Mytilus edulis: one gene and its partners. The protein of the gene in region 1 interacts with the protein of each later gene in a pairwise test. Links are inferred from orthologs where the notes say so. Each region holds a gene or a part of one and is shown in the gene's direction. Other genes may lie near its edges.

Evidence for each region.
Region 2: the proteins of ras-related protein Rab-6A (region 1) and TATA element modulatory factor-like interact in a two-hybrid assay, tested with the Drosophila melanogaster proteins (2 studies listed by BioGRID). The link is inferred for Mytilus edulis from reciprocal best matches to the Drosophila melanogaster genes Rab6 and Tmf.
Region 3: the proteins of ras-related protein Rab-6A (region 1) and ecotropic viral integration site 5 ortholog-like interact in a two-hybrid assay, tested with the Drosophila melanogaster proteins (2 studies listed by BioGRID). The link is inferred for Mytilus edulis from reciprocal best matches to the Drosophila melanogaster genes Rab6 and Evi5.
Region 4: the proteins of ras-related protein Rab-6A (region 1) and golgin subfamily A member 1-like interact in a two-hybrid assay, tested with the Drosophila melanogaster proteins (2 studies listed by BioGRID). The link is inferred for Mytilus edulis from reciprocal best matches to the Drosophila melanogaster genes Rab6 and Golgin97.

What each region holds. Positions count from the first base shown.
Region 1 is NC_092346.1:48,057,577-48,064,582, reverse strand, and holds the start of ras-related protein Rab-6A, read left to right. Parts: upstream 1-3,990; 5' UTR 3,991-4,060; coding exon 4,061-4,157; intron 4,158-7,006. UniProt on the Drosophila melanogaster protein: Protein transport. Regulator of membrane traffic from the Golgi apparatus towards the endoplasmic reticulum (ER). Mediates membrane trafficking during egg chamber growth and organization, possibly upstream of exocyst component Sec5.
Region 2 is NC_092352.1:9,448,134-9,455,305, forward strand, and holds the start of TATA element modulatory factor-like, read left to right. Parts: upstream 1-4,152; 5' UTR 4,153-4,236; intron 4,237-7,172.
Region 3 is NC_092345.1:76,065,477-76,073,453, forward strand, and holds the start of ecotropic viral integration site 5 ortholog-like, read left to right. Parts: upstream 1-4,972; 5' UTR 4,973-5,112; intron 5,113-7,977. Other genes in the region: putative peptidyl-prolyl cis-trans isomerase dodo, read right to left, coding at 1,706-1,754. UniProt on the Drosophila melanogaster protein: Functions as a GTPase-activating protein (GAP). During border cell migration in the ovary, acts as a GAP for Rab11 and is necessary for the maintenance of active receptor tyrosine kinases at the leading edge.
Region 4 is NC_092345.1:62,728,962-62,736,495, forward strand, and holds the start of golgin subfamily A member 1-like, read left to right. Parts: upstream 1-4,513; 5' UTR 4,514-4,637; intron 4,638-7,534.

The sequences.
Region 1 (7,006 bases):
AAAATAAATAGCCAAATTCATCTAAAGCCAACTTTGCCTGAGGGAGTTGAAGCCTAAGTTTCATAATAATTTCAAAATTTATAAACAGACAATTTTAGTCAAGTTTGTTAAATCATGTCAGTACCGAAGCACTGACTACTGAGCTGATGATACCCTCGGGGACTGATAGTCCACCAGCAGAGGTATCGACCCAGTGATGTAAAAAAAAATGGAAAACAACACGTTTTGTAATTTATTGCGTCCGAAGCGCTTTTCTGGAAAACAACTATCATATGCCAGACTTGACACATTCATTTATTTATGTAAAAAAGTGGTGGGTCAAGCCATATTTCATAGCTAGCGACATTTCTTACTTGTATGACAGTCGCATAAAATTGCATTATATTGACAACAACGTGTGAGAAAAATACAAAAGACATAAATGGTAAAAATGTCAAAAATTGGGGTACAACATAGTACAATGCTATATAATCTTAACCACTATATGAATTTTGTCAAAATAGAAAATAAAATGACATTTATACACTCTATAAACAAAGCACATATGCAAAAATGAAAGACAAGAATACAAAAGAAATACCATAACACAATAACACAACGCATGGATGTATAAATACCGAGTCACACTAAAGGGACGTTCCCAAAAATGGACAAGACAGCAAAGATTGAAAATAAACAAAGACAAATAAAAAGAACACTATAACACGTAAAATTTTATGATTATAAACAACGTCAGAAACTATAATCTCTTCTTCAAGACCATCGTGTGTTATGTGTGAAGATGATATGGAATATTTATGAACAAGGGTTTGGTATCTTCTGGGTTTTTTTAAAGGACGAGACGTTCTATGACATAACCCTAGTTCGTCAACCTTCTGCTCAGACAATATTACCGTTTTACTAAGTCTGAGTAGAGCTGCAAGCTCTTGAATATCGAATGAGTTAAAAAAATGTATATCCCATATACAGGTGAAGTTCGTAAATTGCTGCTTTGGTGGAGGAAATTAATTTTATAATTTTTAAATTATGTCATAGTTTCTGGTACTGAGATGTCCAATGTGATCCGGAGGAAGTTGTGTAGGCTGTTTCTTTAATTTCTGGTTCTGGTGGATATATCAAAGAAACCGTATCAAAAAAGTTTGGATTTTTATCAGAAAGAACATCATCAATAATTCTTAGTATGGAATTAAATGATCTGGCTTTTTGGTCTTCTATGTTTTGACAAGTGTCTGGAGAAACTCCGACTCGTATGAAAATAAGGAGAGATACACAGCCTGTTTCCATAGGAATGCCGACAATTTGTTGAAAAAGTCTACCTCCGAATTCAACAAATATGTTGTCAACTAGAAAATCAAGCATTCTGATCATTTGTTCCTCGGTGTAGTATGTTTCAGTTTTTGTTAATTATTAACCAAACATGTCGGATGGTATCCCAAAGCAATTAATGCTATAGTGTTTGCTATAATTTCATACTGAACGTTTTGTGGATTATTTCTTTTAAATTATTTTTCTGTTCAAAATAAGGGTTTAAAGAGTTGAAAATCTAAGGTTTTGATAGAACTAAATAAGGATAAGAAGACGTGCTGACGGAGCGAAACAACCAGCGAACTTTGTAAAATGTATTTATGACACCTTAGAAAGTTTTCGGACGCCATTAAGACACGGTTGAGCTTTTTGGAACTTCGATTCCATTCCCTTATCCTAAATTGTGACATTACCGAAAACGACATGTCACTGGATTTGAAATTGCTTGACCCACACGACGCGTATGACATGTGGAGCAGGAACTGTTTACCTTTCCGTAGCTTTTAATGAGAAATAAATGCTTGCTACAAGTGTTAAAGTTGTAAGAAGTTTTCAATTACGCTTGTGAAAAAAAGTATAAATTTCTGAAACGTCGTAGAACAGTACAAATTGCCAGGTACACAAATGGGCAATTTCATGAATTCTTATGTAGTTTTTCACAGGTTGTGTAGGTTGCCGGAATATAGCGTTCAATTACAAACAATCACATGTTTAAAACAGAAGGATAAACCTATGGAAAACACTTCCGCTTTACAACATAAGAACAAACTATGATAATCAGTTGAAAAAAAGGTTAACTCATCATACATCTAACAAAAATACGGAGTGGACGTGGACGGGTATTTGTAATCCCAACAACAAAAAGACACTAAGTACAGATCTGAGAGTACATGCAGTTACAGACAGCTAGTTCAAAGCCAATAACAACTAACTAAAAAAATCATGCATCTTTAGAAGACTCGTTTATCATCCAGTGCACATCCAACATTCGATGGATTTAGTGTAAAGACGTCATAAACACTGAGTCAGAGAAAAAAATGACCTCGTGCAATGTCTAGAAACAGGTATCGAAACTGATAGTAGAACCATAAACGTGCATATATGTATATACCAATAGTGTTCAGTGGCGGATCCAGTCATTTTAAAAAGGGGGGATTCCTAACCCAGGATAAAGGGGGGGGGGTGTTCCAGCTATATGTCCCCATACACTCAGTGTTGAAATGGTAACCTTTTAGAATGAGTTATTGTTAAGGACCGATAAGAGTATATATACTGCATATAAAATATAAGTGATGTTTTAGTCTTATTTGACGAAGATGTAACCAAACAGACTGTTATAGAGAAATGTCATTTCTGACTTAACATTCAGCGTAAATCGATATTTTAAACCAATAGTTCTAATTTTGAATTGATATGAATGTATACCTCTGTATGTATACAATGCCAATACATGACCTTCTGCTGTTGTCTGTTCCATGCATGGTCGGGTTGTTGTCTCTTTGACACATTCCCCATTTCCATTCTCAATTTTATTGTTAATGACAAATTGGCTTTTTCATGAATTCATCATGCTTACCTTTATCAGTAACACTCTCAAAAAGAAAGAAGGCGAACGAGTTTCTTATGAGTTTCTTTGTGTCTCATATGTTCCGCTTGAATTTTATAAATTAAGACTGAGAACAAACCAAATAGTTTCTTACGAAATAATGACGTAAACACAACATATGTACATGTATGTCCATTATGTTTTTTTAAGTGCACCCAGTTGAACAAATAATTCAAATAAATAGATAGAACTGTTTGCTCAAATTAGTAAACTAGTTGATGTACCTCAGACTGGTGCCGCCGGCTTATGTCGGAACTTTTCGATATATTGATTTCAAAAAATTATTTTTGAAACTAGACCAAAAAATTACTTTCATGTTGAAACTTACGCATCCAGACTATTTTTCGTTATTTTACATTGATGAACTAACAGAAAAAATAATCAACAAAGGGAATGTTGAAGAAGACCGAATATGTTGTCGTTTAAAAATAAAAGCAACACTTTCCTTCAGAACGAAATATTTGACATTTCCGGTGTGAACACGCATGTCTGTAATTTATGAAGACTCGGAACGTGGCGAGTTGAAAGAAGACAGCTAAATAATAACGTACAGTCTCGACTCACACCTACAAATTAACTTTTATATTTCTACATAGGAATCAGATATCACAATGAGTTCCTCTGGGGAATTCGGGAACCCGCTGAGGAAGTTTAAATTAGTTTTTCTAGGTGAACAAAGTGGTAAGTTCCGATGACGAGGTAACGGAAGTGGTCGTGTTTACCTATTTGACTTCGTTGTGAACCAATCATGTCATGCACACATTGAGTCATCACTTGTAATAATAAATTATTTTTCATTTAATATTAATTTCCATACAATTGGCGACCTAACCGTTCACTGAAATTGTATTTGGAAAAGCAAATTGCATGCACTAGTTTTGTTTGGAATGTATTGACTAATGCAGACACACGACATAAATTCAAGATAATTAGATGAACAAATTGCAACTAATATTACTATAAGTGCTAGAAATAAAATTTCATCATAGGCAATCACCTGCCAGCATGGAGCTTATGATATAGCATATATTTTAGGACTATAGACCACATTTAATGACACATAAATTAACAATTACAAACAGGATATAACACAAGATAAAAGTTCTTAGACCTTTTAATCCATTTGAACATCCTTATTATTGTATTAAAATGAGTTTTGCTCAGAAAGCAATGGATATCTCTAACAATAATTATGTCAGGAGCTCGTTATTGAAGTTTAAGTTGGCTTTTCTTGGTGAAGCTGCAGGTAAGTTTAAATGAGCTATGGCCCAATACTCAATAGAAAATACTTTTCGCTATCTTGCCTTAAACTTATTTTTTGCAGCAAGACTTCTATTTTAAACACCCCCTTTTGTGTCCTTCTATGCTTATGTCAACAGAGGGGTTTGATAGATCTTTGCATTTTTGTGCATACCTTAAAGTTAAAGACTATTATTGTCATTCTAAAGCAGGTACAACATTGTTTAGATATAAGAAGATGTGGTATGAGTGCAAATGAGACAACTTGACTTCCAAGTCACATTTTATAAAAGTAAACCATTTAAGGGTAAAGTACAGCCTTCAACATGGAGCCTTGGCGCTCACCAAACAGCAAGCTACATGTACATGTACAATGAGCCCAAAAAATAACTAGTTTATAACCATTAAAATGGGAAAAACAATGGTCTAATCTATACAAAAAAACAAGAAAAACTTAAGAACCACATGAACAAACGACAACTACTGACAACTACTGAACATCAGATTCCTGACAACTTCAAAATGTAGGACAGGTGCAAACAAATGCAGCCAGTTTAAACAATTGTATTCTACATGTAGTCTGATTTCTCCCTCTGTTAAGACTTGCCATAAATTATTTCCTTACTTCATCAGTGGTCTCGTTAGCCCAAAATAGAAGGGCGCCGCGCCCTGTGTGCCCTCAGCCGCGCCCTTCTGCCCTGACGCCGTTTTCTGAAAAACCCTTGTGCCGTTTTGGTAAAATTGCCTTTTGTTTCATCGATTTCTTATCAGCAGTTAAATTACATATATGACACCTGGTGATTGCCCCCAGGTAACGAGGTTAATCATGTCATTACAATCAATTATTGTGGATAAGACTTCAAAGGTGTTAATTACTAGGTAATTTAATTAAGACAAATTAATGTACCTTTTTGTCATAAATATGATGAATGTGTCTGCATTTTCTTTTTGATCTCCAAGTCACAATCGAAGAGTGTATGAATGAAGACTTTCATGAATTTAGAATTGAATTGAAGTTATCAACTTTGCCTTCACAGAAACATCGTCCATCTCAACTTGTGAGCGACGAGCAGACGTAAACATGTTGGAAATTAATTTTGGAGTTACTTCCCCTGAAAAAGCTTATTACAAAATTGTGCTCCTAAAATATTATCTAGCACTAAAAATAGGAAAAAATAACCAATTGAATACAAAATTATATAAGAATGTTACCTTAAGGATACTAACTGTCTTTGAACATACAAAAAAAAATATATTGCAATTTATTTTTGATAATCATACATGTACTGTACTTTTGGCAATCCATGTTTTATACATTCTCAATTAAGAAATATGCATGAATTAATTGTTTGAATGGTGTCAAGCTATCAACTTACAAAAATGGAAGTGTGTAGTTAAACTCTCATCACAAATCAACATGATGAAGCTACACGAAATATTATATTCCTAAACACAAACAATAAAAAAAGTTTTGAGGGCCAAGCAATGAAAATTTTGAAATACAACTACTCTGTCATGTACATGTATGGTAAACTATGGTAAACTATGAGATGTTTAGTTTATGTTCTTTCTTTTTGGAAGGAGAGGGGGTGGGGAGAATAGTTAGTTTATTTTTCCTCTTTTGGTTAATAGTATGAATGTGTATTGCCATGTTACAAATGTATATGAACATGTAGTATGAATGACTTTTCTTATGCAAATTTTATAGAATAAATAATAACACCTACTTATGCATCTTTATTGACAATATATACAGTAAAAAAATATGTGAACTCGTGATACACGCAGGGACATAAACATTAGAAACAAGCAGTGCCTTCTATCATAAAAAAGTGCCCTGCCCTCCACTGGCACCCTGCACCTTTTGAATTCTAGCTGGAGCACTGTTCATGCTATTGCTTCCTACCCTAATTTGTCAGTATATTGTGGAAATGGAGGTATATTTTAGGCCTTAACTTTCTACATGTGTTTCCTGGGGAATACCAAAATATCTGATCTCTTAGTCTAAATGGTTTATGTCTCGTGTGTGATGCTTGATATGGGAGACTTACAAATGTAGAAATACTGGGTGTCTGTCCTGTTCTTGTTATTTGTGCTTATATATGTAATTCTTATTGGGTCAACCTTCACTTTAAACTTTTGAGTTCTCAAGCCCAAAGCTCAATTTTTTGAAAATTGTACATGTGTAGTTGGCTTGTAGAGAAGAATTTTACAAGCCTGAAAGCATTATTACAAGCCAATGCTGTAGAACTTGTGGTTAAGCTTAAGGTTCCACTAAAGTCAAAATATAGGACACTTAATAAACATCTAAACAATGCCTGTATTGTTCAACCTACATGTACATATATAATGAATAAAGTCCTAAACTAGGAAAACATATGTTCATTTAAACATACTTAACACATACTTAACACATACACACTGTGTAAATTGTAAATAAACTTGAAATTGTTATGTGGTGGCCAAACCCATTCTTGAGGTGAACACTAAATTTTCTAAAAAATCTGTGAGAAGACTTAATTTGTTTAAAATTGGTATGGATGACTTCTGTTATACATGTATCTAATGCATGGCAAGGTCATGTTGAATTTTCAGAAAATGTATTGATTTTCGAGTTTCAGTTAATTTTATGTATCTAGGTGAACAAATATCGAAGGAACAATACAGAATTGGACAAATATGCCATTAAAACATATATATGTGACAAATCAACATGAGCTTGCCCTGCATTACATGTAACAGTATTCGTCCACAAATTGAATCGTCTCGCAGGCCTAAAGATTTTTTTTTTGAAATTTTAGTGTTCACCCTAAGAACCAGTTTGGCCACTTCATAACAATTTCAAGTTTATTTACA
Region 2 (7,172 bases), on another chromosome or scaffold:
CAACTCTTGAGGTTGAAACGTCAAATTGACAAGAATACAATACCTGTATTCTGAACCGAAGCTAAAAAAAAGTGTTTTAGTACTTTTCCTTAAGGACTTAGCCCAAAACTATATGCCATTAACACCGTAGGTCTGAAATCAAAAGCGTGAAAAGGTGCAAAACAAAATGTGCTCTAGAATGAGATTAAACGATGCTATTGAATAGATTTATGCGACCAAAGGTACCTGTACCTTCTAGACGTGTCTTCTGAAAATTACACTTTTCTTGTGAGGGGAAATTTAGACGATCAGATATATATATTATATCATACTTCCATGGATATTCTAACCATGAGTTTTTTTATTTATATGATCTTCGAGGTTTCCTTTAAAAACAACATTGATGACTCGTATGAAGAGAAGCATTTTTGGGTAGACATCAACCGCGCATGCACATTAGACATGATGAAGTTGGTGATCCAAACTTTGATCACATATATCTTCATTCTATACAATCCCGTAAAAAGGTAATGAATTGATTAATATTTTATCGACGTAGATTTACGCAACCACATGTACAAACAACTACAAGATACATAACATATATATATATTATAAGGATGACTTTTTTTTTTGTTGACTTGTAGCAGAGCCCTATCTTTTTGGGTTTTTGTCATGGCATTATCGAGTTTTTTTTCGACTAATGAAGAGCTTTATCACTGTTGTATCTTTCGCGTCTCTTTTTTGATAGAATAAAATGTTAATGTTGTGCTTTCGGAGCACACATTTGACATCCATCTTGTAAAATTCATTTCCGTCGACTGTCCATAGTTTTGAAGGAATTCGTGATTGGAAAAACAATGGAAAGACACCATTGACTGTTACACATTTATCAAATTTGGGCAGTATTAGCCAACCATATTTGGAGTAGATATGTAGGATTGTTAAAATGAGTTCACTGATTGATTACTGGTAATCAGGATGCGATAAGACCACTATGCTGAACAGTATCTCTTTTGATTTAGTTTGATGGGCTGAGACTTTTTGTATGTGTTTGAAAACGCATTGCATCATTCTATATATACCAACTCCTGAAGAAAGATTTTGACAAAACGTTCTCGAAAGACAGCGTTGGTCTCATCTCCATCCAGGACAAATATCTTACTGGATTTAGTGAACAGTATACCACTACCAATGCAGCCCAATGGCATATAATCCCACTTAGAACTAAGATAAAGACAAAGATATATTTGATCCACGCGAACTAGATATGTGTTGGGAAAATATTATTTTGTTTCATGAAAACAAAACACGGGTGATGATAACTATGTTCGTCGACTCGACGACACACAAATTAAAACAATGTCGATCCGCTATATCGCTCACAAGACAAATTCAAACATCCCTGACAGACCATTCGGGAAAACAGCAATTTTATTTTACTCTTCTAACAAGTTATCAAGAATATAGATGATACTTATCGAGATCCTGTAGCAATATCTCCTGGAAAAGTTTGGTCAACTGTGCGATTGATGTTCGAACAAAATGGGTTTGCCACCATTGATTTTACTGGCCCAAAATCAAATGTAAAGTAAAGAGGCAAAAAGTTTACCTCTACAAAGTATAAGATAACTAGAGTATTTGTTCTCAATTATTTCAAAAATAGTTTAAAGTCAAACAAAACATTCAAGTGAGCAAGCAACTATCAAACCGTACAGATCTAATTTGATAAACTCGAGACCTTACCAATTTGTTTTAAACCTATCCTTGAAACGCAAATGGAAGCTGCTTCTTAAATCACCAGAACATGAACGATATTCCAATAACGCTGTCAGCTGTATCACCACTCCAGAACTCGCCGATCCTCTATATATCCATTGAAGAATTGCAAGCATTTACATTGTACATCGATCGAATTAGTATCTCAAAAAAGAGGGACGAAAGATACCAGAGGGACAGTCAAACTCTTAAATCGAAAATAAACTGACAACGCCGGGCTAAAAATGAAAGAAGACAAACAGATAAACAATAGAACACATGACACAACAAAGAAAACTAAAAAATAAGCAACACGAACTCCACCAAAAACTAGGGGTGATCTAAGGTCCTCCGGAAGGGTATGCAGATCCATGCTACACATGTGGCACCCGTCGTGTTGCTTATGTTATAACAAATCCGGTAAAAAGTCTAATTCGGTAGGTCACATTCATGAAAGGGAAGGGGATTGTAGTTACGACGTAAGGAACATATCCGATATCATTTGTGAAACGGTTATTCCATAACGGTCAACCAACTCGTGATGGCGTCCGTAAAATTTACAAAGGGATGATTTCAACTTCGCCATTTGGAACTCTTGGTTTAATAGCTTCCTTGTGAGCAGCAACCCTCTATCAAGAAAATCATGATAGGAAATGCAAGCAAGGGAATATCGTATCAATTGGGAGATATATACCCCGTATACAGGTGCTGCTGGAATGTTGCTACTTAGAAATGGAAAATTCACAATTGGAAAGCTGAAATCATCTCTTTTGTCGTAAAGTTTTGTTTTCAACCGACCCTCATTGTCAATTTGTAGATGAAAGTAAAGATATGAGGCCGACTTAACTGTATCTGGTGTATGCTTTATCTATAGTTCGATTGAATAGATGCGTTCAACATAGTGTAAGTCACCAAGCTTTGAATTATTTAGCGAAAGAACGTCATTTATATAGCGGAAAGTAGAGTCAAAGGATATTGCTAACTTCTTATCTTTCTTCCTAAGAAGTTCCTGTATGAATTCAGTCTCATAATAATAAAGAAACAAGTCGGCAAGAAAGGTGCACAATTGGTTCCCATTTGAATGCCGACAGTCTGTTGAAAAATACGTCCTCCGAACGTAACACATATGTTGTCAATAAATAAATCAAGCATCTTGATAATGTCAGTTTCAGAATATTTTTTTGTTTGAATCAGAGTGATACTCTACACAGTTGGATTTATCCCTCCCTAAGACAAGATACTTGTATCTACGCTGGCCATTTTTTTTTATGAAACAATGCAATACCATGCAACTCCTTCAATTTAGTTTAGAATGTGGAATACTTGTGTAAAATGTAGAAAAGTCAAAAGCCGTTTTAATACTATTGCAAGATGAAAGAGAGTTAGATTGTATGTACTCTAAAAGATCTTTGGAATTTTTAAGGATCCACATATGATTCACGCCACCTCAAGTTGAGCATGGCTCCAAATACAAACCACCTTTTTGAACTGAAGTCAGGAGAATACAACGTTTTACTATTTTGGAATTCAGCAGTCCGTAACATTTGATGGGGATGCTAGCTTCTTTTAAATAGATGGTACACATGGATCGATCGGATTGTGTGAACTCATTCAGTGTTAAGAAATGCCCTGATTTAGATGTGAATGAGCCTAAAGATTTAATCAATTACGTGGATCAGATAAATCTTAGTCTCGGTCAAAGAAAAAAACTTGACAACATTTCAAAAGACAAACAACAGTACGCAAAAACACAACATATACATCTAACTAAATACTGGGCAACACGATGGGGTATCTAGTTAAAAAGATGTGTCCGAGATCCCGATTTCCAACCAATGTGGATAAAAATGAAACATATACAGGTCTATAACTTATTTAAATACATTGTATTAAATATCTCTGACTGAATGTATTTTCAATGTTAAACACAGAAACATAGAAAGGTAGAATCTTGCACGGGCAACATTAGTTACAATGTTGATGTACGTACACCTAACCTAGCAAGACTTCGTAAGGGAGTAATTTCCCCTTTAAAATCATGACAAAAACTGATCTCCAGGCTACAATATTCCAGAGACATACAAGGGAACGATTATTTAACTTAAAAAAGAGGTATGTTTTTTTCCTAAAAAAAAATTTTGATCCCAAATTTGATGAAGAAAAAATAGCAGATGACAAAAAATATTCTGAAATCATAATCCAGATTTTTTTTATACCTAATATAGTGTTAAATTAAAAGATTGTTTGATTTGCAAGAGAACAAAAATTCTGTGTCAGACAAAAAACTATATTCCCCTCCTAGAAGTGAAATGGTTGTTCCCTGATACTTGAACCAGTAAATCGATATCAGGTCTGATATTTCAAAATATTTTAGACATCCCTGTACATCCGGATTAAAAAACCGGAAGTTCCGGAAAAGTTCTGAATTTAGTCTACTTAGGCGAAAAACGTCAGCATCAACAAAACTTTGAAGATATCCTGTAAATAGAAATGATAAATGTTAGTTCATTTACAAGTGATACAATTCACATTTAAGTTCTGCTTTATATTGTCATTGAGGTAGTTGTGTTCTCATGAAATATGGTGTATATAGTGTGAAGAGGCATTTGTATACACACAACATACAATTTGCCTGTCATGCCTATGTGTACACATTTGTCCATGTCTGTTTCATTGAACTTTAGATAGTAATCAGCAAAATAATCTAGGCCAACCTCCTGACAAAAGTGATACCAGTACTTTGGAGCTAAGGTTCCACTTAGAAAGACAATAAAGCAATCACTATGCCTGTTTACAAATCACATACAGTGGAGTCCCCGGTGTCGGCGCGGCCCGTGACATCGCGCATTAGCTGATTTCGTCATGTCAACACAGTAACACATACAAAATCGTTCTTGTTATTGTTTTAGCCTTCCGAAGGGATAAAAAAGAATAAAATTGATAAGTTCAAGAATTAATTAATAACTGCAATCCCGTGATTTACCATATTTGGCCAATTTCCATTAAAAAAATTACATCATCAGATTATTTTTGTTTTATTTCAGTCAAATTAATATCAGATTGAAATATTTTTTGCTCTGCATCCATGGAAGTGTGTTTGGTACAAACTCAGCTATATTTCGTAGTATACATCTTTCCTTTATTTCAAATAAGCTATTTTTGGAAGGCATGCGCGAAATCACCGGACATTGGAGGAACTCTCAGAACAGGGGTTTTCCTAATTTTGGACACACATTACACAAAATCTAAAGGATGTAACCATACAAACAGAAGATTTTATGAAATAAAAGTATGTTATGAATGTGTTCACACAAAATTATCCAATTTTTGGTTTTATCACTTGAATGAAGTGAAGTCATAAGTCTTAGGTGTGCGGATACACCGGACTGCACCGTACATCATCTCATTGCAATCACAAAAACAGACAAACTATGGAATTAATCAGACAGTCTCATAACATGAACACACTTTCATACCCAATTCCATCCTGTAGAACTAAAAAACAATTAAAAGCTGGAAAAGCTTTCCTCTGAGTATTGTGATGAGTGACAGTCACTCTATTGAGTCCTTCATTGAAAGTAGCAGGTACATTTACAACGATTTCCGAAGGATTACAAGAACAAGATTATTGTCCCAAGGAATAATTAATTTATCCCCAAAACATGATTTTATATGGTGTAATACTGCTAAGATTGTAAAATTATATGGTCTGAGACGTTTTAATCGTTAATACTCTTGAAATATAAATACAAGTTATCTTCAAGAAATCAATTTGTATGAAATTTTTAAAGTTGTCTACCTCTTGAATAATTACGTCCTCCATATTATTTTCAACAAGTAATTTGCATAAATAAACTTAATACAAGACATGTTAATTGATTTCCTGACAATGCCTGAAGTTAAATTGCACTTTTATTGAATAAACACAACTTATATCTTAGAATTATTTACTTTAATATTATTTTAAGTAGTATAACATCATGTGTTCGAGACAAATCAATATGTCCTTTGGATATTAAATAGTTCTTCTAATCCTTGGAAAATGGTGTTAATGCAAAGTAGCTGTCTCAACAATATGACAACATACATTTTGTACTACTTCAATAAATTGATCTTGATATTTAACAATAGATAAAATAAAAATGTGCACAAACATAATTATAACATTCTACATTTTTAGGCAGTTAAGCTGCCTTATGCGAGCACCCTAGATTTGTGTTCTACCCAATAAATGCTGAAAGGCATGCCTTTTTTATTATCTTCCTGGATATTTTGTTATTTATAACTAATTGGACAGTTTTTTCATACATTTAATTCTGGATTACAAAAAATATGATCAGAAAAACCTTAAATGATCTTCGAATCACCCCAAAGTTTTAAAGTTGCACATATGAATTAGAGCACATTAGGAATCCTTGTGCAGTTTATTATCCCCTGAGCTTTTGGCAAAGATGTCAAAGAACAAATGTATGAAATATTTAATTGCTGAAAATCTCTAAAGACAAGTAGTTTAGATTTCCCAAATGACAAAAGTCGTAGGAATATTGTGTGTCGTCAATACGTAGTCAACTACGTCAGTAGTCAACTACATCAGTAGTCTATTATATAAGTTCAACTGTTCATGCTGTTGGCGGCAATTTCAAATCAGAAGACGAAATTTTCGTATCTTTTCAATTTGGAGATAGGGGTTCAAATTAGCGGTGGTCCGAGGTCTGCGGCCTTCCTCTTTTGCAGTCGGACTTTCGACTTGGTACTAGCTATGCCCGACCGACATTCCACTTGAAAGAAAATAAAAAAAAAATTTTGCAAACTATTTTACCAAAGTCTCCTAATAAACGATCTAAAACTTATTTTCTTCATTATTATACATGACAGCGATGTTCATTTTGTTCAACCGCTAGCTTTATACAGAAAACCGCCGACAAATAATGTGTAAATTCGAGAAAAATCGTATCTGACAAAAACAACATTGAAAACAAAATGGATGCCAGACAATTACAATATCGGATCCGATTCCGGAAGCGGAAAAGGGTAATTCCGGGTTTTGCCGATCAACTAAAGAAAACCAGAAAGGTGAAAAAAATACATCTATGCATGGTAAATAAATATAAACACTAGAATTGAAAAGCAAAAGATATATGTAAAAGAAAGAAAAAGCAGAAAATATTTTGTACAGAAACTCAAAATTACTTTTTGACCAATTTTAATGTCAAAAGTCAATACAATGTGACCGTTGGGAAAAGTATATATAGGGGGAGTTCACTACACATCCTCCTGTTTGAGAACCTGGAAATGGTGGAGATTCCCACCCCTAAACTATTTATACTCATTTCTCTAATTCTTCTTCAATTTATCCCTATCTGCACCCATTGTATAAAAAAAAAATCAACATGTGGTTCGTTTGATCTCAGTTCTTCATTGGTTAAAATCTGATT
Region 3 (7,977 bases), on another chromosome or scaffold:
ACGGAATTCTTTCCAGTCTATTTTTTTTTATTATTTTTTTCAGCTCCAGTGATTGTAATAGCTACGCAGTTTTCCTTTTCAACATACAGTGGTCATAACTCATATTGTATATACACATTTTTTGAAGGTAAACATGTAACTGAGCCCTATATGCTTAACTGCAATTAAAAGAATGTACGTATTTCTTTACATACATTTATTTGTTAACCGTGTTTACATACGCATAGCTTATTTGAGCACTTGGTGAATATATCCTATATTAACAGTCATAAATAAATGATTAGCAAAACTAGTTGTAAATGCAAATAAAACTTAATATTAATACAAATTTTTTTTTAGGATAGCGAATAATGATATATTGGAAATTTACGTTTCCAAGATGGCCACCATTCAAGATGGCCACTAAATGCTTCAATAGTCCTCAGTTGATATTCTCTGTCATAAGAAATACGAAAGTTTATCAAAATTGGTAAAGAAATATATTTTTCATATTTTTTCTAATTATTTTTATTATTTTTTTGGACATGATTTCAAAATGGCCGCCCAGAGCCGCCATTTTGATTTTCTAAATTGGGTCCATAGCTAAAAATGTTAGTTATGACCTCAACTAACACTCTGCAAAGTTTGATGCTTTTACCACATTCTGAGCAATTTTTTCACAATTCGACTGGACTATCAGGGGACTTACTGAAATAAGTGATTTTTAAATCACTTATTTGAGTAGCAAATTTGAGGTTTTGTCACAAATTGGGATTGTAAAAAGATTATCAAATTTTTCATCTAATAAAAACAATATTGTAATGTTTTTAATTTAAAACTTTCTTAAATCTTTTTAATTATTGGCTAATTGGTGTTCTTTCTGTAGTTATAGGCTCCAATATCGTCAGACTAAAAACAAGAAACATGAAAGAAACCTTATGATGGAAAAAAAAAGATTAATAAAGAACTCAGCAACATAAAGATGAGTGGTGTCAAGTATTGAAGACATCACAGCACGTGGCAGACGACTAAATAGTTTGATAAAGACGGGGTACATCTAAATGATGATGGACAATTTAAATTCTTCTGTTCTATTCGCATATGTGCAAAACTGTACTTGTAAAGTGTAAAATTAGGTGCAATCAATTATTTAATAAATAAATATACATGGTACACCAATAGGTCTTTTTATTATTTTTTAAGTAACCTACGACTCATATTATTATTATATATTGATATTGGTTACAAAATGTCTCAGATACGAAACAACCTAGTAAGTTACAAATAGACTAGTTACGAAACGACCAGGTTACGAAACGACCTGCACCCGTTTATTACATACAAATCAGTTTCTGTTGGTCAGTGACAGTGTTTCACTGTATGTGGCGGAGATAGAACAAATAATTATGACGTCTTGAAAGCCTATTATAATTTTTTTAGCGTCAAAGAAAAAAATTATAACAGGCTTTCAAGTAGTCCAAATAATTATGACGTCTTGAAAGGCTATTTTAATTTTTTTCTTTTACGTCGAAGTAAGGCGTCATAGAAAAAATTATAATAGCCTTTCAAGACGTCATAATTATTTGGACTAGCTTTCAAGATGTCATAATTATTTGGACTAGGGCCGAGAGTGAGTGTTAGCCCAAATTTCGTGACTCAACGTGATTGGGATGATCGATCTTAATTTTAAATGATAGTTTGCTAGTTAAATTCTGTTATAAATTACTATTTGAGCGACTTATTTTCCTTTCCCATCCTTCTGGTACGTCTGACATCGTGCCGATTGAAAAATAAAAATGTGGAAATAGCGGCTTGATCAGGGTTAAAAAGTGTTTAAAATGGAGAGTCGAATATATAAAACAACAGCGGATAAAACTATGTGTATATTCCGTATATTGATAAAGTAAGATTATTTCATATTGACAAACATTTATACATAAGCTCTGATGAGCTTTAACCTTCATGATATAAAAACATGTTGTAAATGAAATGTATTTTGTACACTTGCATTATGCAATGACAAGTTTATCATATATGCTTTATCCCGTAAAATATACTTGAATTTGAAAAAAAATATTTATCTTAAACTGACACAATCTAATTAAAAACCGATCTCTCATCGCTCCTGTTTCTGATATGTCGCGACATATCAGAAACAGGAGCGATGAGAGATCGGTTTTTAATTAGATTGAAACTGACACTGGCAGCATAACTCTAGCATACAAAAAAAATATTACAAAATAAATGCACATATAAATCTCGACGACAGTTTAAGATTTTTTTTAAATAAGTTAGTAACTATCTTTATTTTCTTTGGTACATGTAGATAAGGATAAAGTCAATCAGTCCACACAAACTTGAAAAACATGACATTCTTGATCATTCTTATTCCATCATGCACCCGGGGTTGTATCCTTAGTACAGACTGTCAAGTATATTGTTTCCAAGAACTATAACTGCCACTTGAACCAACTACCTGATAACATCACAAATTGCACATAAGTAAAAAGAACACTGTTGCCATGGCTCTATAATTGTGTTACTGTAGTTAGTACACTAAGATGTCTTTACTCTGGTCATCACATACAATTTTAGACAACTTAAGAAAGGGAATACAAATAGAGACAGGGTTATCATATTATCAATTATTGCACTTTACGTATTGTGTTGGACCATCCGGACTGGAGTCGGTTCGCAAGATGCAAGCACACCGCACCTAACTATACAAGATGATCAGCTGGCTAGCACAAAGAAACAAAACTAAATACAATTCAAGCGGAGAAAAGATTTTAATAAATCCTGCAAACAGAGAAGCAACAGTTATAACTACCCCAGGAATGGACTGACTAGATTTCTAAAATGTAAAAAGCTCGCCGTTCATAGTAGCAAAGCGGAAATATCGGCGTATAGTATTCCGTAAAAAAGCAGCAGGCCAGCGAAATGAAAAGATTTAATTATTTAGAAAAGTAATAGAAGTATTTCGATCTCTAGTAACTGTATTTCACGGATGTTTCTGTATCTAAAAGAATACCATGAATATCTAATATGAAGCAAAATTTGTAAGTTATTCAAAATTGTGTAGACCTCAAGTGCCTCTGTTTTTTTGTATTTCTTGCTTTTATGTTATCAATCAATAATCATTTTTAATTGAGCGCCTCGTATAGAATTCACGTAAAAAGAGCTAGAGGCAGTCAAACTCATATATAGAAAATAAACTGACAACGCCATGGAGCTATAAAATAAATAAAAAAGACAAGCAGACAAATAATAGTACACAAGACACAATACACGGAAAACTAAAGACTTAAGCAACACGAACCCCACCATGATAAACTAGGGGTGATATCAAGTGGGTAAACACACCCTGCTCCCACATGTGGCACCCATCGTGTTGCTCAGGTTCATTATTACAAAACCCAGTAAATAGTCTAATTCGGTAGGTCACATTCCGTGATGAAAAGTGGGTTGTAGTTACGACATAAGGAACATATCCCAGTGGCGGATCTAGAAATTTTCATAAGGGGGGGGGGGGGGGGGGGCACTGCCTGCCTAAGAGGGGGCCTGCTCCCGTCACGCTTCAGTGATTCCCTATATAATCAACCAATTTTTTTCTCAAAAAATGGGGGCCCTGCCCCCCTTAAATCCGCCTCTGTATCCGATATCATCTGTGAAACAGTTATTCCATAACGGTTAACCAACTCGTGATGGCGTCCGTAAAATTTACGAAGGGATGATTTAACTATTTGGAACTCTTTTTAAAAAGCTCCTTTGTGAGCAGCAACCCTATATCAAGGAAATCATGATAGGAAATACAAGCTCGGTAATATCGTATCAGTTGGGACATAATATACTCAATATGCATGTGCTGCTGGAATGTTGCTACATAGAAATGGAAAGTTCACAATTGTGAAGCTGAAATCATTTCTTTTGTCGTAAAGTTTTGTTTTCAATCGACCCTCATTGTCATTTTCTAGATGTAAGTCAAGATATGAGGCAGGCTTAACTGAATCTGTTGTATCTCTTATCTCTATTTTGATGGTATAGATGCGTTCAACATAGTTACCAAATTTGGAATTATTTAGTGAGAGAACATCATCTATATAGCGGGAAGTAAAGTTAAAGAATATTGCTAACTTCTCATCTTTCTTCCTAAGAAGTTCCTGTATGGAGTCAGCCTCATAATAATAAAGAAAAAAATCGACAAGAAGAGGGGCACATGCAATTGGTTCCCATTGGATTGCCGACAGTCTGTTGAAAACACACATCCTCCAAACGTAACAAGTATATTGTCAATCAAGAAATCAAGCATCTATCTTGATTATGTCAGTTTTAGAGAATTTTGTGTTTGAATCAGAGTGATTGAGTGTTGTTGAAGATCCAATGAAGAATGAACTTAAGACATTAAACCGGAAAATAGTGGATGCTTACAATTAATTGAATAATTAACAACGCGACATAAAAAAAATAGTATATGAATAACATAGGTGCTTTGGAAATGCATGAACCCCCATTTTTATTTTATTTTTTTTAGGTATTATACTGTAACCACAGGCACTTGTCTCAGAAAAAAATCCTATATACTTTTTAACAGTTAACTGCTGTTATTGTAATATCATATGGATATGTATTGTAAACTATGAAGGATTGGTGGGGTGTGCAAAAATACAGAATAGTGAAAAATAGGCCAAAAATAATGTATGGAGAATAACTGGTAGGGTGCCCTCGGAGGGTGCCGCAGTAAAATATATAGAATAGAGAATAATGGACAAACAAAATAAAGAATAGTGAAATTTAGAAATAACATTAGAAAATAAGGATCTCCAATTATGAGGTATTATATGTATCTTCTTGAACTAAAAGATAAATAAATGCATTCGTCCCCAGGTTTCTTGTATATTTTTTTATACATTGGATATACTTTCGGAATTATGTTGATCGAAGCTGGTTCTAAATTTAGATATAATTTACAAACGTTTGAATGATTTTAAAATATTTTCGATATTTTCTTGGTTTATCCCTCAGAATGAGAAACCTCAAGAGACTAAAAATTCTCGAAGCAAAACAAATCACCAGGAAAGAATTTTGACACATTTTGATGAATTGATTCACTTTTGAAGGAAACTACTGGTGTAGGTAATATTTGTTATTTAAGAATTTTATGTTTTGTGACATATATTTATTTTGAACTTTTTATGCCAGTTAAATACGAAAAGTCGCCTGTAGGGCGTTCCTCCTCCAAAAAAACACTTGATCAACACTGGCACTGGCATACATGTGTATCAAAATTGCATATGGCACTCAGGAACAGCCTCCAATTAGAGGAGGGACGAGGGTCTATAAAAAGAAAACAAACTAAGCCATGCTTAGAACTTTAAAGATATAACTTTTGTATTGAATTCTGAGTCTGAGAGACTGTACAGATAACTTAAGTCTTAATAATTATAATATGATTATGAGGCAGGCATTATCTGTGAAAGGGGACAAAGTCTAAATGATTTTTTAATTTTTTTTATTTCACACATAATTTAACTTCAAAATCTGTTAAAAGAGAAACGGAAATACCATAACCTTTCACAGATAATACCATAACGTTTCCTATTTTGGTTCTGTTGTTAGGGATTTTTAATAGTTGTGACGTTATTTAAGTTACAAATGTATGACGTTATATTCAATGTAAACGAAAAAAACGCTATCTCATAGTCTCATGAAAAACGAACTTGAAGATGTAAGTAGATTTCTCCGCAGATGCAGGAAAATTAAAAATCTAAAAAAAAATGTGAACTACATTTTGTATTTTGAGTTCATTAGAAGAAGATTTTTTTTGCGGGAAATTAAATTTTTTATTTATTATTTTTCTACTGTAATAGGGGACTTCATCCCCTTATAATTTATGACATCTTTAAAGACTGTTTTAATTTTTTGCTGTTACGTATACGCTTAGTAGAATACTTCACTGCCTAAAAATTATTCAGCCTTTCAAGACGTCATAATTTTTTGGTGTAAGATACATATCCTGTACCATTCATGATTACCAATTTCAGCTTGTAGTCTTGTACTACTAAAAGCTTTAAGCAAACTTGTACCAGGCTTAAATTAAAATATTGTTTGTTTGCCCTTTACCGACCGACCCTATAAATTCGTTCCGCCTGAAAATCTTTTATTTGTATCTACCAGCAAGATTTTATTTTATTTTATTTTTTCGTTCCTACAAAAAATCTTATATTTGTATTTCCCGCTCAAAACTTTTTTACCGCAATCCTCGGGTTTTATCTTTATCGTATAAGGTCTAGTCCGTTTGGTATCACGTGAGCGTTTTACATGCACACTTGCAGTTAGAGTTTGAAATCATGATATGACGTACTTTAACTCTGTATCTTTATACTTGAAGAGCAGGGTTCATTTACAAAAAAGTTTGTTTAATACAAAATTATCAACGTGTGTACAAACTATTTTGAGTAAACGGACGTTGTATTCTATGTAGGGATGGCCTTTTGTGATCCGTAGATAAGGATGATTATGTTAACAATGCCTTCGACCAGCATTGCTATATTATTTATATCTGACATGACAAAAGCCTGTAAAGTGGAGAATATTTGGCAGTAAAATCGCCCAAGTTTTCCATACAGATCATTTATAAATGCGATGTAAAATACGTGACAATTGAGTTTAAGTCTTGTAGCATTTTTATTGGAAACATAGGCACACTCGGAAATTTAAACACTAGGGACCTTTTCTACTAGTAATGTATGTCTGCCCGGACATATTTTACCAGGACAAAGTTATCTCTTACAGAAAACCTTTAGATAGAGGTAAGCGTACAAGGTACGTAGTACAGAATATTAGTGCAAGTTAAAACTCTTCAAAGTTCCAGGCATATATAAATGTTGAAAATATGCGGCACAGCTCTATATTTTGATATTTGAAAACAAAATAGTAGTGCATATGAATTAACTTCACATTCTACATGATATTTTTTTTCAAAACGTAGTCCCAGAAACTTATTAGCAAAAGCAAAAATGACATTATGCAGATTTTGGAGGGGGGATAGGACCTTTATTGGGACTCCGGGATCGGGTGTTTTTAAGCACGGGATTTCGGGATGTCGTGTTTTTAAGCCCGGGATTTCGGGATCAGGACCCCCTCCTACCCTCCCTCATTTTGTATCTATAAAATAAAATATTATACCTACCTGCCTACCCATGAAAAAAAATATACCGAGCCTAGTTATTTTTTTTGGGAAAAAAATAAAATATTTTACCTACCTACCTACCCTGTTTCAAAACATAGGGTCGGAAAAGGGCAAACAAACAATATTTTAATTTAGGCCCCACTGCTACACTGTTCATCAATTACATAATTAATTCAGGCTAATTTCAATATGTTAATCTCAAAGAATACATAAAACTGTCATGACTGTAAGTATGTTTTGTAAGGACATTTCATTAAACTCTTGGTATATTATCGAACACTTTAAAAGTTGATGATGGTGCAAGCTTACATAGAACCTCTTTGCAGTGATATAAGCTGAAGTCATGATCAATTGCCATAAATGAAGTCATTGAGCATGTTGAACAATCCCCTCTTTAGTATCATTGTCAAGAAATAACAAAGGCATTATGACATTCAATAATATATGGAAAAATTCACAAATTTGAAATTAGTCGGTATATTTCTGATTTTACATTCATTTGTGCCAGTAGGTCCCAGGACACAGTTATCGTCCTTTGGTTTCCGTTGTGACTCCCTAGTGTGAACAGTGTATAACTTTGATTTTTAATTTGATACACTTTCCAATATATTTCTTGATATTTAATGCATGAAATATTAAGTAAGGGGATGAAATTACATGTTAAAAAAATTTGGGTGCTGAATCTTAATGTTAAGAAGTGATTTGGTCCAGTTCAAAAAGGTCAAATTTTATTACTTCTGAAGCTGTCAAACTGAATTTTAGACCCCCTTAACACAGAATTCTCAATATTTTGAGTTAGAGCTGGTAGA
Region 4 (7,534 bases), on another chromosome or scaffold:
CCCCGTAAACATGTAATATAAAAAAGAAGATGTGATATAATTGCCAACCTCGCTACCCAAGGAGAGTACGGGAGTGGGTCGTAACCCTTGCCAAGGAAACAGCACTCATATATAATATAGGAGGAGAACCACGACAATAAAACGCAACACACACAGAAATTAACTATAATTCAACAATACCTATTTTTCTGACTTGGTACAGGACATTTAAGAAAAAAATGTGGGTTGAACATGGTTTTGTGGCTAGCCAAACATCCCGCTTGTATGGCAATGTTTAATATAACATTAAAATGACAACATTACATGATAGGACTACATTTTTGTACAATACAAATAAATGGGAGAACATACAGGACATGGAAACACACACATAAAAGCTATTAAAAAGTCACAGGCCTATATTTGAATACGACAGACGCGCGCCAAGCCCACAGAAGACCCATCAGTAACGCCCAGATAAAAAAAAGTTCGAGAGCCGAAACAAGAACAAAGTTGAAGAGCATTGAGGACCAAAAGTTCAAAAAAAGTTATGCTAAATACGGCTCATGTTAACTGCCTGGGATAAGAAAATCCTTAGTATTTAGAATGATTCATACTTTTGCAAACAGTAAATTTATAAAAATTACTACACTTTTATATAATAGATTGGTATCTTTTTTCCATATAAAACAAAGATTTCATTGCCAAAAGCATCCTTGTCATCAAGTATCTGCATATTTACAATTTCACAGTAGAAGAGGGACAAAAGATACCAGAGGGACAGTCAAACTCATAAATCGAAAATAAACTGACAACGCCATGGCTAAATATGAAAAGGACAAACAGACAAACAATAGTACACATGACACAACATATATATACTCTCAGATCTGTTCATTGCTGTCTTTTTGTGTCGGAATGTATAAGAACCCGTCCACGTCCACTTGTATTTTTGTCCATCTGATGAGTTAAGCCTTTTTAAACTTATTTTTATAGTTCGTTCTTATGTTGTACTGTTATACCATTGTCCCAGGTTAGGGGGAGGGTTGGGATCCCGCTAACATGTTTAACCCCGCCACATTATTTATGTATGTGCCTGTCCCAAGTCAGGAGCCTGTAATTCAGTGGTTGTCGTTTGTTTACGTGTTACATGTTTGTTTTTCGTTCATTTTTTTTTTTATATAAATAAGGCCGTTAGTTATCTCGTTTGAATTGTTTTACATTGTCTTATCGGGGCCTTTTATAGCTGACTATGAGGTATGTGCTTTGCTCATTGTTGAAGGCCGTACAGTGACCTATAGTTGTTAATGTCTGTGTCATTTTGGTCTCTTGTGGACAGTTGTCTCATTGACAATAATACCACATCTTCTTTTTTATATAGAAAACTAAAGAATAAACAACACGAATCCCACCAAAAACTAGCTCAGGTGCTCCGGAAGAGTAGGCAGATCCTGCTCCACATGTGGAAAACATATCACATGTAAGAAACAGTTTTCTCGGTCAGTACTTTCCATTGACTTATTCCATTTAAAATACGTCTACCTTTGAAGTTTACCATGAGAATGTTCCAGACCTTCGAAGGAAAACTTTAAAAAGGTTAAGCTAAATTTAAATGATAGATGTGTAAATCTAGTTGGACAACATAACGATATGATAGATTTTACACAAGCTAGCTTGATTTTGTCAACTTGGTTAGAAATTATCATATAATCACTGTAAACATTAATAGAGTAGTCATCGAAATGTGTTTAAGATAGCAAGATAGGCATATATTCACACGATTTAACTCATTCTAGATACATTCACTGATAACACGGATCAACGACAAGTGCGAGGTTAACTAAATAGAGAATATTGGGCAAAAAATAAAGAACAGAAAATGGGCAATTTTTTTTTAGAGAAAAAACGAGAATAATGGGTGCAAAAATATAAAGAATGACTGCAAAAACTTAAGAACTGGGTAATAATATGAAATAAAGTTAACCATTATTTTTTAAGATAAATGATTACATAAATAATGAGCGAAAAAAATATAAAAAATATATAGGAATGAATTAAGCACCACCCATCCATATCATCAAGTACCTTTAAATAGTCAACGATTCACAACATAATTTCGATCAGCTGCAATCGTAACATGTTAACAGCCCTACTAATGTTATGTATTTTGTACATGTGTTTCGTTTAAAATCTCTTTTTGGTAGTTTGGTTTTTGTTTTAAAAATGGTATCTAAATGAATACCAAATTATAAAAAAAAATGAAATAACCACTGTCTTGTATCTGGATTCTTTGCATTTTTATGTCATTTTTTAGCTTAAAAAAATTACTTTCATTCTTTAAAATTCTAATGAAAATGCTTTTTTTCTGTAGTCTACATGTAGAATTTATGCCTTTTTGGGGGGCAGTGGCTATTTGACCGGCACCGGCAAAATAGTAAATTTAATACATTAATGAAACATTAATAATATTAATACAATCATTATTAAATATATTTTTTCTAAAATATATATATAAAAAAGTTGATTTTGATATCTGTTAGTGTAAAATCTATACTGAGTTTAACTTTGAATATCCTGCCATGTGATAAAAATAGTGCTATGTAAAACTGCATCATAACAAGAACTATCTTTAAAAAAGATATCCGACGTATTTAAATTTGAGTATATGTTTAAAACTATCATTTCGATAACCTTCAGAAGCACAATGACTTCATGATGCAGGACCTCTTTAATTAAATCTCCATCTGAATGTAACTACAAGAAGGCGATTGCAGTGCACCGAAAACCTGCATAGTTTGACACAATTTGTCCTTGGTGGCAACGCCCGTTGACTACCTTCATCTTGTGAACAACAATGCTCTAACTATTTAAAAATCAATGAATTAACAACAAAAGAACGTTACAAATTGTTTTGTGAATATGCGATTATATTTAAATAAGCGATTTACCATTTAAATAACGTGTTCTCTGTTTTTGTTCAGTATTCTCGGTCCTCGTATCTTTTTGTTTACATTCACCAAAACCCCGCGGAAATCTCACATGTGTAGGTGCGTTCTAAAAGTCATGTACGTTCGTACAACAAAGTAAACATTAAAAATTATATTTAATTGTCCCGAATAAACAGCTGTCATGGATGCAAAGAGCTATTGGAGAAACAATTATTTTAATAAAAATATAAATCTTTGTAAGATCTAGTTCAAATATTTATAGTTTTTCACTTGCTTTCCATCACGATATAATTAACGAGACGTTTTTTCAAACACAACCAAATCACCCACCATGACAGAATTTTCTCCAATCACAGAAAGGATTTTTCGAGCATGCGTATTCTGTTGCCATAGTTATAAGCGTCCTTAAGTTCAAAGGGCACAAACCGAAACTATACCGACTACGTCGGAAAAAAGACAATATCAAAACTTGTTTGCTATGAATTTTAAATAGAAGGATGATTTAACATTTGCAATTGTTATTATAAAACCATTGTTTTGCCTTTCAAAGTTGTTTCATTCTAGCACATGATAAATGTTGTTACTCCAGACAGGAACTACACATTACACTGTCTTCCTTTGAATCAGCGGCATGTGTACATATGTATATAGGATTTTTTTTTCTCTTTAAATACGCTCTGCATAACTTCCCATGCATCTTTTTGACAAAATTTGTTCATCAGATCAATGTTTATAATTGAGTCCAAACAAGAGGCACTTAAAAAGTCAGGTCTTGTTTCAACTTGTTCCTTGGTTATTAAAATGTTATTAACAGAGTTTTTTGCTAATTCTAATATAAGGAATCCATTTTCTTTGGAACTTTTCTTATGAAATGGCAAACTTGACAAATTATTACTTTTTTTTATCAGCTTTTTTGGAAGTCCAATGTCATTTGGGCCTTAATTTCTGCTTTTGTTTTAATGTAGACTTTATAAATATTAAAGTTTTATTCCAACTCTGATATTTATATTCAGGTGAATCATTTGAGAATGCTGTAACAGTTTTCTTTTGAAATATACCACTTGTCTTAAGGTTTGTACTAAGTCATATACAGGTACATGATGGATTTTTTCATATTTTTTTTTTAAATGAATTATTAATTTAGATATTTAATTATTATTCTTACATTTTGATTCCAGTGAGACGTTTTTTTTTATGATTTTGATTTATTACTTAGCTTTTTAATTCTCTACTAAGCACATTTTATGATCAATCAACCGTTTTATTCAGTGCCGGCAAAATAGCCTTTTTTCTATTTTGCCGGCGCCGGCTAAATAGCAATTATTTGCTATTTTACCGTTGCCGGTCAAATAGCCACTGCCTTTTTTTTATTTGCCACATTTACTTTTGTTGCACCCCATTATTCTACTTTGTGTTGTTTATTTATTTATTTATTATTTTTTTATTTTTTTGCTCATTTTTCGCTGTTCTTTATTTTTCCTCTCCATATATATATCCTATATTCTGTACACCCCATTCAGACCCTTAATAAATATCTAAAATTCAGTCCGTTGTGTATATATGTAAGTCAATATCGGTAACTGGTCACATTTTGAAATTCCGGAAGTAGAAAAGGAGAAGATAACTGAAATGTAAAGATTTGCCAAGCTGGCGATCCGGGTTGATAAATAAGAAATGTCCTCCTTATATGCTTACGATGACATTTATTAGGTATGAATAGGCAGAAAAAAATATACATTTATTTTGTAAAAGTAATTTAATGTAAAGACTTTGTATCGTCAATTTCATGATTCAATGAACTGATATTGATAAATATTTAAATTTTCCATATTTCCTCAAAAACTGCAAGTAGTATGTATACATTTTATTTTAAAGTCGTCTCTTATGTACAATCAACATAAGTCATGAGCTTAAACGAACTCGTTAAAGCAACTTTAAATATAACATGTAACTTCATAGTGTTGTAAAAGCAATCACCGTGTGCGCCACATTTTTAGAATGAAGCGCTTCCACGCTTCATACAAAATGTACTTCGGTCAACGCTTTTACACCCCAATAAAGTTATAAAAAGAAGCATTCAATTCTTAAATAAATACAAGTACATATACAAAAAATGTAAACATTAAACTGTTTGCACATACAACAGTGATCCGCCATGTGTCTAAGTGTCTGGTGATTTTGTGCATTATCTGATTTCTTCATATCCACAATGCAGTAATCAGGAAGGATGTGCACCATGCGCCTGTAGCGAATATCGACCAGAAATGAAGCATAGAGTGACTTATGTAAGCGCCCTCGCGGTGCATGATATTTTTCACTTCGTTTCGATACGTTTAGATATCATCAGATGGATTTCAGATTGTGTTTCGTGCCGCCATGTGTGTGTAGACAGATTGTGTAATGTTCCTCCAATGATAAGAGCACCTATATATTTTTGGAATGTCTCACGTGTTTTCCTATGGAAATAATAGAACCATGGGGTGTAACTGATTACCCAAAAAATGTAATTAACCATCATTCATGATATGATTTTTTACAACTTTAAATTTGTGAAATTTGGCTAGTACAGACGAGATTTGTCTATAATTATTATCTTTTAAGTTAGTTCAGCTTGCTATTATTTCGATTGAAAAAATCCAAAGCCTTTTTAGCTCACCTGGCCCAAAGGGCCAAGTGAGCTTTTCTCATCACTTGGCGTCCGTTGTCGTCGTCCGTCGTTAACTTTTACAAAAATCTTCTCCTCTGAAACTACTGGGCCAAATCTAACCAAACTTGGCCACAATCATCATTGGGGTATCTAGTTTTAAAAAATGTGTCTGGTGACCCGGGTTACCAACCAAGATGGCTGCCATGGCTAAAAATAGAACATAGGAGTAAAATGCAGTTTTTTGCTTATTACTCAAAAACCAAATCATTTAGAGCAAATCTGACATGAGTTAAATTGTAGTTAAATTGTTTATCAGGTCAAGATCTATCTGCCCTGAAATTTTCAGATGAATTGGACAACTTGTTGTTTGGTTGCTGCCCCTGAATTGGTAATTTTATGGAAATTTTGCTGTTTTTGGTTATTATCTTGAAGATTATTATAGATAGAGATAAACTGTAAACAGCAATAATGTTCAGCAAAGTAAGATTTACAAATAAGTTAGCATGACCAAAATGGTCAGTTGACCCCTTTAGGAGTTATTGCTCTTTATAGTCAATTTTTAACCATTTTTCGTAAATCTTAGTTATCTTTTACAAAAATCTTCTCCTCTGAAACTACTGGGCCAAATTAATCCAAACTTGGCCACAATCATCTTTGGGGTATCTAGTTTAAAAAATGTGTCTGATGACCCGGCCATTCAACCAAGACGGCTGATATGGCTAAAAATAGAACATAGGGGTAAAATGTAGTTTTTGGCTTATAACTCAAAAACGAAAGCATTTAGAGCAAATCTGACATGCTATAAAAATTGTTCATCAGGTCAAGATCTATCTGCTCTGGAATTTACAGATGAATCGGACAACCCGTTGTTGAGTTGCTGTCCCTGAATAGGTGATTTTAATGAAATTTTGCTGTTTTTGGTTATTATCTTGAATATTATTATATAGATAGAGATAAACTGTTAACAGCAATAATGTACAGCAAAGTAAGACCTGAAAATAAGTCAACATGACCAAAATGGTCAATTGACCACCTAAGGAGTTATTGTCCTTTATAGTCAATTTTTAACGATTTTCATAAAATTTGTTAATTTTTACTAACATTTTCCACTGAAACTACTGGGCCAAGTTCATTATAATAATTGTAAGCAGCAAGAATGTTCAGTAAAGTAAGATGTACAAACACATCACCATCACCAAAACACAATTTTGTCATGAATCCATCTCAGTGTTCTCCCCAGGCCTTTAAAGGACCACGGGCCCGCGATGTATAATTTTCTACCGTGGTGGTATCGTTCTTGCCGCGATGTATAATTTTTCACCGTGGTGCTAAAATTTTCGGTAAAAAAAATCATAACGGTAAACCTTCCCGTGTGGTATAAAATTTCAGATGAAAATTGACCAGTTCAAACCAGTTCAATCCAGTTCTGACAACGAAGATTGCTTACACCACGTGATCGATTTACCTTTTGAGGTTAACCTTGATGATTGGATTTAATCGATGTACATGATTCTTGTGTTTTAATTGATTAAGAGATCATAACTTAATCATCACAGACTTATGAGACTTTTGAGGGACAAGCAGACATTTGTTAATAAACTCTATTACTCCAGACTTTGGTCATAAATGATTTGCGTATTTTTAAAACGTGAGTTACTTCCCCTGATTTAGCTTATTACAAAAATGTGCTCCTAAAATATTATCCATCATTTAAAATAGAAATAAAGTACAAATTGAATGCAAAATTATGTAAGGATGTTACCTCAAGGATAAAAACTTTCTTTGAATATACCAACAAAAATATATTGCAAATTATTTTTGACAATCATACTTTTATTAAAGCACAGACATATTATATTAAATATGTAGTATATCCATTTATACTTCTATTGACCGTGTAAGGGCTGTATAGCCAGTCAAGGTCGTTAAAAACTTCCATTTCATTTGATGTATACTGATT